2 linked regions of the Callithrix jacchus genome follow. The protein of the gene in region 2 interacts with the protein of the main gene of each other region in a biochemical or structural test. Links are inferred from orthologs where the notes say so. Each region holds a gene or a part of one and is shown on either strand. Other genes may lie near its edges.

Region 1 (3,644 bases), on a different chromosome or scaffold from region 2:
TTTCAACAACTGGGCATTTTCAACATACAAATCCTTCACCATCGCGTCTGCCTTAGTGTTCTTGCAGAGCTAGAAACAGAAGCAGAAACATCTTGACTCTATTTCTGTATCTCTTCTTAGTTGAAGTTCTGACATAAGGACAGTTATTTTAAAAGGCAAATCACTTCTTCTAATGATATTCTTTTATTTTACAATATAGATTTATCATCAGACTTGGCATCAGGGATGCCACTGGAGCAAATCCACTTTTTCCAAGCTATTTCTTTGCATGTTTATGTAAGTTACCAATAAAAAGAACAGATTGATATCAGAGAGCTCCAGAAGTTTTCTTCTACCTAAATAGGCATTATTCCTTTATTTATTCTTTAAAAATATGAAATACTTTGATAACTTAAATTCCTGAGGTCAGGTGTGGACTGTTTAACTCTGCTTGTAACCAAAGATGCTTGAACCTCCCCCATTCTTAACTACAACCCACTGATTATTTTAAAATTTAGCTCATATATTATAACAGAGAGAAGATTTGGGCAGTTACTTTTCCTGAACTTTTTTTGCATGGGGCCTTGTCTAGTCTATTTATAGTTACAATAAATAGTCTAGGCCAGGCACAGTGGCTCAGGCCTGTAATCCCAGCACTCTGGGAGGCCAAGGGGGGCAGATCACCTCAGGTCGGCAGAAACTCCATCTCTACTAAAAATACAAAAAATTAGCTGGATGTGGTTGTGTGCGCCTGTAATCCCAGCCACTTGGGAGGCTGAGGCAGGAGATGGCTTGAACCTGGGAGGATGAGATTGCGGTGAGCCGAGATTGCCCCATTGCACTCCAGCCTGGGCAACAAGATCTCCGTTTAAAAAAAAAAAAAAAAGAATATACAGTCTAGGTTGAGGTGGGAAAACTTGTTAGCAGTGCCTTGGGATACTTTCACCGTCATTCTGGTTAATATTTTCCAGTCTCCCTTCCCATGTTACACCTTTTAACTGTTCATTTTATACCCAATTTCAAGTAGAGCATCTAAAACTGTAAAGGTTTATGAGAATAAAAAGCAACTAAAAGAGTGGCTTAACAACTTATTAGCATTTCAAAGGGCAAGGATAAGGATGACAGCACCCAGAACCTAGACAACTGGCAGCTCTCACTAATATTTCAGAGCCTGTTCTCTGTTGAACTTCCTGAATACAACTTTTTTTTCCTTCCTCTCTTCCTCCCTTTTCCTTTCCAAAAATAAAAAACAAAACAAAACCAAAATGACTCTGATGGCTCTTCATCACTGACAGAATAAAACTGAAGCTCCTTGGCTCAGCATTGGAGGCCAGCTGTCCTGTTCCTCCTTCCTCTCTAGTCTCCCCTCCTGCCTCTCCCAGGACAATGTGAACTGTCAATGTGGACGTGATTATACGTCCACGCCCCACATGTTGCCATAACTCCACGATGTTCCCACAGCCTAGAATGCCCTTCTTAACTGGTGAAATCTTACTCAACCCTCAAGATGCAGCTTAAGAGGCCTTCAGGAAACTTTCTTTAAACTTCTGGGTTGGATCAAATATCTCTTCTCTTGTGTTCCCGTCTACTGAAAACAGATGGATCCTATTTATTTCTGAACCTACCATTTGGCCAAGCTGGGCAGGGACTTTGTTCACTGCTATACCCATGTGTGTACAGCAGGACCTGGCCCACGGCAACTGTGTATTGAATGCTTGAATACGTAAAGAACTGAATGCATAAATGCTCACTCAGCAGGACTTTTTCTTCTCTGTGTATTAAGATACAGGCCAACAGAAAGTTCCTGTCTACAAATGAATTCAGACCCTCTCTTGGGAGGATTATTCTTAGGTCTTAAGTATCTAAAGAACTAGGTGGGCAATTTCTGCCCCCCCCCCACCTGTTTGTCTCAGTCTCAGTTTCCAGAGAGGCCACAACACTCTCCCAGAGGGTAGTACTTTCTGCATGTCTCTTCAGGGGATGTGCAACTAACTGCTAAACACCAAGGACACATCTGCCACCAGCGGATGAAAAGGAGCAGACTGATTAGTGCTCCTCTAATTCAAAGTACATCTTTTTGGAGTCTGGCTGTAACAGTAAGATACTTTTTTGAGGTTTTTCAGAAGCTTTTGGGAACAGGAAAGCTAAAGTTCTATTTATCCCCCAGCCCCCTTTCTTTTAAACCTATGTCATTTTTCTTTTTTTCTTTTTCAGGCTTCAGCCCCTCAAACCTATGTCATTTTTTCCAATTTAAATAGGAATATTTCCAGTCTTGGGCAGAAGAAAATCTATTGATTCACATGGACCTAAAAAAACATATCCATTCACATGCTTTAGGTCCATATGAATCAACAGTTTTTTTTTTAATTTTAAAAATCTTAGGTCCATGTGAATATTAGCAAAGAGTTACAATTTTAAATTGTGAACAAACCAGCCTTAAACAGAGCTCTGGAAAAAAAAAGAGTTCATATTTTTGGGGTGGTATGAGGGAGAGCAAATCCTAAGTTCTTGTAGACACTTAGAATAGAATTTGCCTTTATTAGACAATGTAAGTTAACAAGTTAATAGCAATAGAGGGATGTAAAACTGGAGTTAAAGCTGGAATGTGAGGTGGGTGAACAGAGATGACCGGGGAGGCTCACTTGTTCTTTGAGCTGATTCACTTTCTCTTGAAGAAGGCTTTTCACTAGTTTCAGTTTCTGTTCAACTTCTATCATTCGTTCCTCCATGATGGTTACCAGTTGTTCCTGGTTTCCCTGAAGGGAAGAAAAGTGCATTATCATTTGAAAGTCATGTCACACTGAAAAGAAAACACTGGTTTATTTTCCCCACAAGATGCCTAGAGAGGACAGCAAATGTTTTGCCTTTGTAACAGGAAGGATGGATTTCTGATGAAATGGGACTTTTGAGCCCTGCATGGATTGCACATGTAAGAAAAGTAACCCTATCACACAAAGAATCAGATTTTTAAAAAAAGAATCTTACCTGTGTTACCATCGTCCCCCGATATAAACCAAAATTCTTTAAAACCCATAATTTAATACCTGTGTGTACTTCTAGTAAAATGGACATCCAAGGTAAGTTAAAAGATAGATAGTTATCACCTCTCATCTGTGATTTGGGTCTTTGCAGTGTTGTGGGCCTCTCAACAACAAAACAAGCACTGACTGTATTCAGGGTTTCCTAACAGTTCCAATCAGCTTGCAATAGGCATGTCTGTTTTTCCTCTGAAGCAGCTGATAACTGTGAGGGTGTTAGTGTTTCTTTCTTCATAATAAGCAGCCTCTTCCTGCCAATTTTTCTAGTCATCTGTTTCCCACTTGTAAATGTGAAGCACACATCTGGATTGGAGGATGGTTTATTACCAAAGCAGACTGAAAATTAAAAATCTCCTCTTCTCTTCTCACACAATGGTGATAGGTTAAGGAGTAAGTGGGTTTTGGAGAGCAGCAATACCTAGAGAGATCAGAATGCAGCCGCCTCCCACCCGCCATCCCTCTGCAGTCCACCAAAATGCCCCCATGAGGAATTTCAGATTTCAAAAAGGTGTTAACAGGTGATGGTAGTTAAGACATACTTTAAAAGACATGCAGAATGACCAAATGTAAGTCAAAGACAACCATCTGTTTGGATATTAATCACACTTCATCATCAAACCCTAAATC
Region 2 (4,413 bases):
GACAGCATGTAACAGAAAGAGATGACTTTGTAGGCACCACTGGATTACAATCAGGATGGCAACTTTATATTCTACTTTCTTTGCTATCTTGACGTAGCCATACCTCACTGTTCTCAAGCAGACCAAAGGAACTGGTTCTCTGGAAGAACAATGGACACTGGTCTTCTGTATGACATCTACTCAAGCTGTATTTTATAGATCGCCCTAGCTTCAAAAGATCCAAAGCTACCAGGAGTTGATCTGGCCCCCCATTTCCTCGGAGGCTTCAGAATATCCGGCCTGACCGTATTTCCCTTCACCTGCTTTCGGGGCCCGTTTTGCGCTGGGCAATTGCGCCCCAGGAGCGCGCGCATCCAGCATGAGCTCATTTCTCAGGGGCGTTTCCAGAGCCCCGGCCCAGCAGCATACACCAAGAGCAGCGAGCCTCTCTATCAGTGGCCCCCGCGGCTGGGCGGGGCGCGACCGCCCAAAGGCGCTGCCTTTCTGGAAGCTATGCTCCCACTTTAGCGTCTGAGAGTTTGAAGCAGGCCGGGAAAGGCCCTTTGGTCCGTCTGCCCCTTTCGGGGAAGAGGCCGACACCCGGCACGCGCGACCCGGGCAGAGGGGAGCCTTGGGTGCGCCGAATTGGCCCCGCCCGGCCGAGAGCCTCCTGTGGGTGAGGAAAGCCCCTCGACCCCTCTGCTCGCTGAGCGCTCAGACCCCAGCACTGCCGACCATAGTACTTTCCGACTTGCTAGGCAGGGGACCCGCGGTCTCCACCGTTGCTGGAGGCGGCAGTTGCCTAGCCGTCAGGCCGTCAGCCACTACCCCAGTCGGGCTTCTCCCCGCTCCCTGGGACCAAGGCCGAAGGCCAATCACACTGCAGCTAGGTCTTGCGATTGAACGGCAGTGAGAGCCGATTGGCCACCGTTGCGGGTTTCGGGTTCCCTCCCTCTCCCTTTTGCCCCAACTCCAGCGCCTAAGCTTCAGGCCAATGAGACGGCGCTTTATAGGCGCCCTCCCTTCGCTTTCTTCTCCCCACCTTGGAGAAGGAGGAGAAGTCCTGACTGGCTAGACTGTCCTCGGAAGCCCCCTTTCCTTCACCAATCACCAAGGGCGGTACGCTCCCAGTGGAGTTTTCCAACCAATTACAAAGCGGTGGCGGCGCCCAGCCGTGCAGTTTCACCAGCGTCTCCGGGTTTCACCGTCCTCAACTCTTCAAGCGTTTTCATGAGGCCGGCGATTCTGATTGGCCCCAGTTGCCATTGTCGAATGTCTCCTCTAGCCAGCCCTTTCCGTACGGCTACCTTCGGCATTTTCCGCTCTTTGGGCGTGGTTTCCCATCGACATTTTCTAATTGGTTTCTCAGGCCGATCGGCTTCATCCGGGAGGAGTCGCAAACAAACGACGTCCGCGATTGGCTCTTTTCGGGCTTCGGCTCCAAGCCGAAGCGGGCGAGCGCGGGGCTCGGCCGGCGATTCCCAGACGCCTGTTACGCGGGCGGCTGGACGCTGGGCGGTGTAAGGCTGGGTGGGGGAGGAAGGAGGTGGAGGACGAGTAGGAGGGGGGAGGAGGGAGTGGGGAAGTGCAAGGCGGCTGCGCAGACAGCGCTCCTCACACAGAGCAGCCCCCGACCCGGGCGAATGCGGGCTTGTACCGCCGCCGCCGCCGCTGCCGCCGCCGCTGCCCGGGCCGAGTGACAAAGGAAGGAAGGAAGGAAGCAAGGAGGAGCCGGCCCCGCAGCCGCTGACAGGGCTCTGGGCTGGGGGCAAAGCGCGGACACTTCCTGAGCGGGCACCGAGCAGAGGCGAGGGGCGGGGGGGGCGGGAGGGCGGCCGCGCTGGTGCCGCGGACGGGGGAGGGGGCCCCGAGAGACGGAAGCGGTTGCCGGGTTCCCATGTCCCTTGCGTATGGGGAGCAGTCGAGGAGCCGCTGCCTGGGGTCTGAAGGGAGCTGCCTCCGCCACCGCCACCGCCGCCGCCATGGCCGCTGGATCCAGCCGCCGCCTGCAGCTGCTCCTGGCGCAATGAGGAGAGGAGCCGCCGCCACCGCCACCGCCCGTCTCTGACTGACTCGCGACTCCACCGCCCTTCAGTTCGCCGGGCCCCCGCCGTCAGCCCGCCGGATCCCGCGGCTGCCGGAGCTGCAGCGTTTCCCGTCGCCTCTCCGAGCCACCCCCTCCCTCTCCCTCCCTCCTTCCCATCCCCCTTTCTCTTCAAGCGTGAGACTCGTGATCCTTCCGCCGCTTCCCTTCTTCATTGACTCGGAAAAAAATCCCCGAGGAAAATATAATATTTGAAGTACTCATTTTCAATCAAGTATTTGCCCCCGTTTCATGTGATATATATTTTTTTAGGATTTCCCCCCTTTTTTCTCCTCCCAAGAAAAGAAGGGGAAAGAATTGTATTTTTTTCCCCAGCCCTAAATCATCTATATGTTAAATATCCGTGCAGACCTATCTTGAAGGAAAAATACATCGCTCTTTTTTTTTATAGTATACAAAAGGAGTGGAAAGCCGAAAGGACGAGTCTGTTTCTTTTTCTTCTGTGGGAGGACTTAATGCTGCATTTATTATTAACCTAACACCCCAACATAAAGACAAAAGGAAGAAAAGGAGGAAGGAAGGAAAAGGTGATTCGCGAAGAGAGCGATCATGTCAGGGCGGCCCAGAACCACCTCCTTTGCGGAGAGCTGCAAGCCGGTGCAGCAGCCTTCAGCTTTTGGCAGCATGAAAGTTAGCAGTGAGTATTGATTTTATTTTACACTCCTTTTCCGCCTCGCCCTTAGAAACCTCGGAATACCAGAATCTGAAAATAATAGACCTCTTCATAAAACAGTCAAACAGGTAATGCAAAAGAGCAAAACCTGTCTTCAGTCAAGAATGAAGCAGCTCCCTCTCTTCTTCTCCCATACCCCCTCCCTCGGTCTCATTAACCTTGAATTGAGAGAATATGATTTTTATTTGGACGATTCGATTTGAAACTGCTTTCTTTTCGTATACTTTCTTGCTGTTGGTAGTTAGTTTCATCAAGTGCTTGAGTGTTTCCACGTTATATTAGTGATGACAGTGTTTACTTGCTCATCCTTTAGAATAAAGAGGACAAGATTTGATTCATAAACCATTATGTACGTTTGCAGAACGTATGCCTTTTGGAATGAGTGAGGGTATTTTAGGTCTCAGGGGTTATCATAGTTTGGTATACTTTATTGAAACGTGAAATGTCCCACTCTCCCAACATTTTTTTCTTGTCTGTATGACTATACATAATATTCTTAATCTGTGGATGAACTTCCTCAGTAACCATTCACATTTGGAGACTGGCATTGATTTCTCCCTTTAGAAGGGACCAGTGGGAGCCAATAAATACCCAGCAGCAGTAGCATCTCTGTATGCATTGTCTTCAATTTGGATAAGTGGTTTGATGTGTTATCTCTTAAACTCCTGTTTTGACATTATCAACCTGCCACTGTATAATTATTTAATCAAAAGGTAACTTGGAAATATTAATAGGTCCAAGTTTTGTTTGTTTTGTCATCGTGCCAAATACTAAGTTAAATGTTGTCACTGGCTCATTATCATTTAAGTTAAATTTTGGAGTGCTGTTGCATTCATTACCTGTTAAATGTTCTGTAGTACAGGGGGGTTCCTTAAAAAGGACATTTAAAATACTCTTGCGTTAGTTACCACCTCATTTAGGTAACACTGGATTTAGTTAGAAGAATGTGGATTTAGTCCTTTCCATTTTGGCTTTTGCAGATGGCTGTGGTCCTAGAAATAATAGGGATATTTGGGCTGCGTTCAAGGTTGTGGATACATTGTACTCTCGTCCTGGGTTTGGGCTGAAAAGTATGCTCTTGAAGTGTTTAGTATATACCAAGTATCTAATGTTCCAGTGTATCTCTGTTTGTGGAGCTGTTCATGTGGTATTTAATGATAGCTTGTTTAAACATACTTCCAGAATTTAACAAAAATATCTATATTGTTTCCTTATTGTGGAAAAGAGGGGCATGATAAGGGCAAAGACAAGTTATTTTGTATCCTAGAAGAACTAAAGAACTGAGATTTTAAGAACCCCCCCCCCCAAATGTATGTTATGTGAAATTGATTATATCTTTAGGCAACATAAAATGATCACTTTTAGTTGAACTCAGCGTTTCAATTCATGTTGGCTTTGGGAACTAGCCTGAAACAGGATAGTCTAGGTAATAGCTGAATTGGAGATTATTTTTGAAAGTTAAATTTTTTTTTTTAGGTGTCTTGCAAATGAATGCTGGGGTAGGTAAAGAGGAAAGCTGATTATGCATATTTCAGGGAAGGGTCCTGCTTTCTAAGTACTTCATGGGGTCATTTGAAAAATATTTTTAAATTCCAGGGTAATTTTCAGCTATAATGGTACAAGTCTTCTAATAGCTACTTTCGAGCCTCTTGTGGTA

What was found.
Region 1: of the proteins of GSK3B (region 2) and NIN, one has a biochemical effect on the other in vitro, tested with the Homo sapiens proteins (2 studies listed by BioGRID and IntAct). The link is inferred for Callithrix jacchus from reciprocal best matches to the Homo sapiens genes GSK3B and NIN.

The regions. Positions count from the first base shown.
Region 1 is NC_133509.1:85,314,324-85,317,967, forward strand, and holds part of NIN (ninein), read right to left. Parts: intron 2,736-3,644; coding exon 2,622-2,735; coding exon of another isoform or gene 2,541-2,621; exon of another isoform or gene 2,498-2,540; intron 70-2,497; coding exon 1-69. UniProt on the Homo sapiens protein: Centrosomal protein required in the positioning and anchorage of the microtubule minus-end in epithelial cells. May also act as a centrosome maturation factor.
Region 2 is NC_133516.1:82,766,978-82,771,390, forward strand, and holds the start of GSK3B (glycogen synthase kinase-3 beta), read left to right. Parts: upstream 1-1,595; 5' UTR 1,596-2,632; coding exon 2,633-2,720; intron 2,721-4,413. UniProt on the Homo sapiens protein: Constitutively active protein kinase that acts as a negative regulator in the hormonal control of glucose homeostasis, Wnt signaling and regulation of transcription factors and microtubules, by phosphorylating and inactivating glycogen synthase (GYS1 or GYS2), EIF2B, CTNNB1/beta-catenin, APC, AXIN1, DPYSL2/CRMP2, JUN, NFATC1/NFATC, MAPT/TAU and MACF1.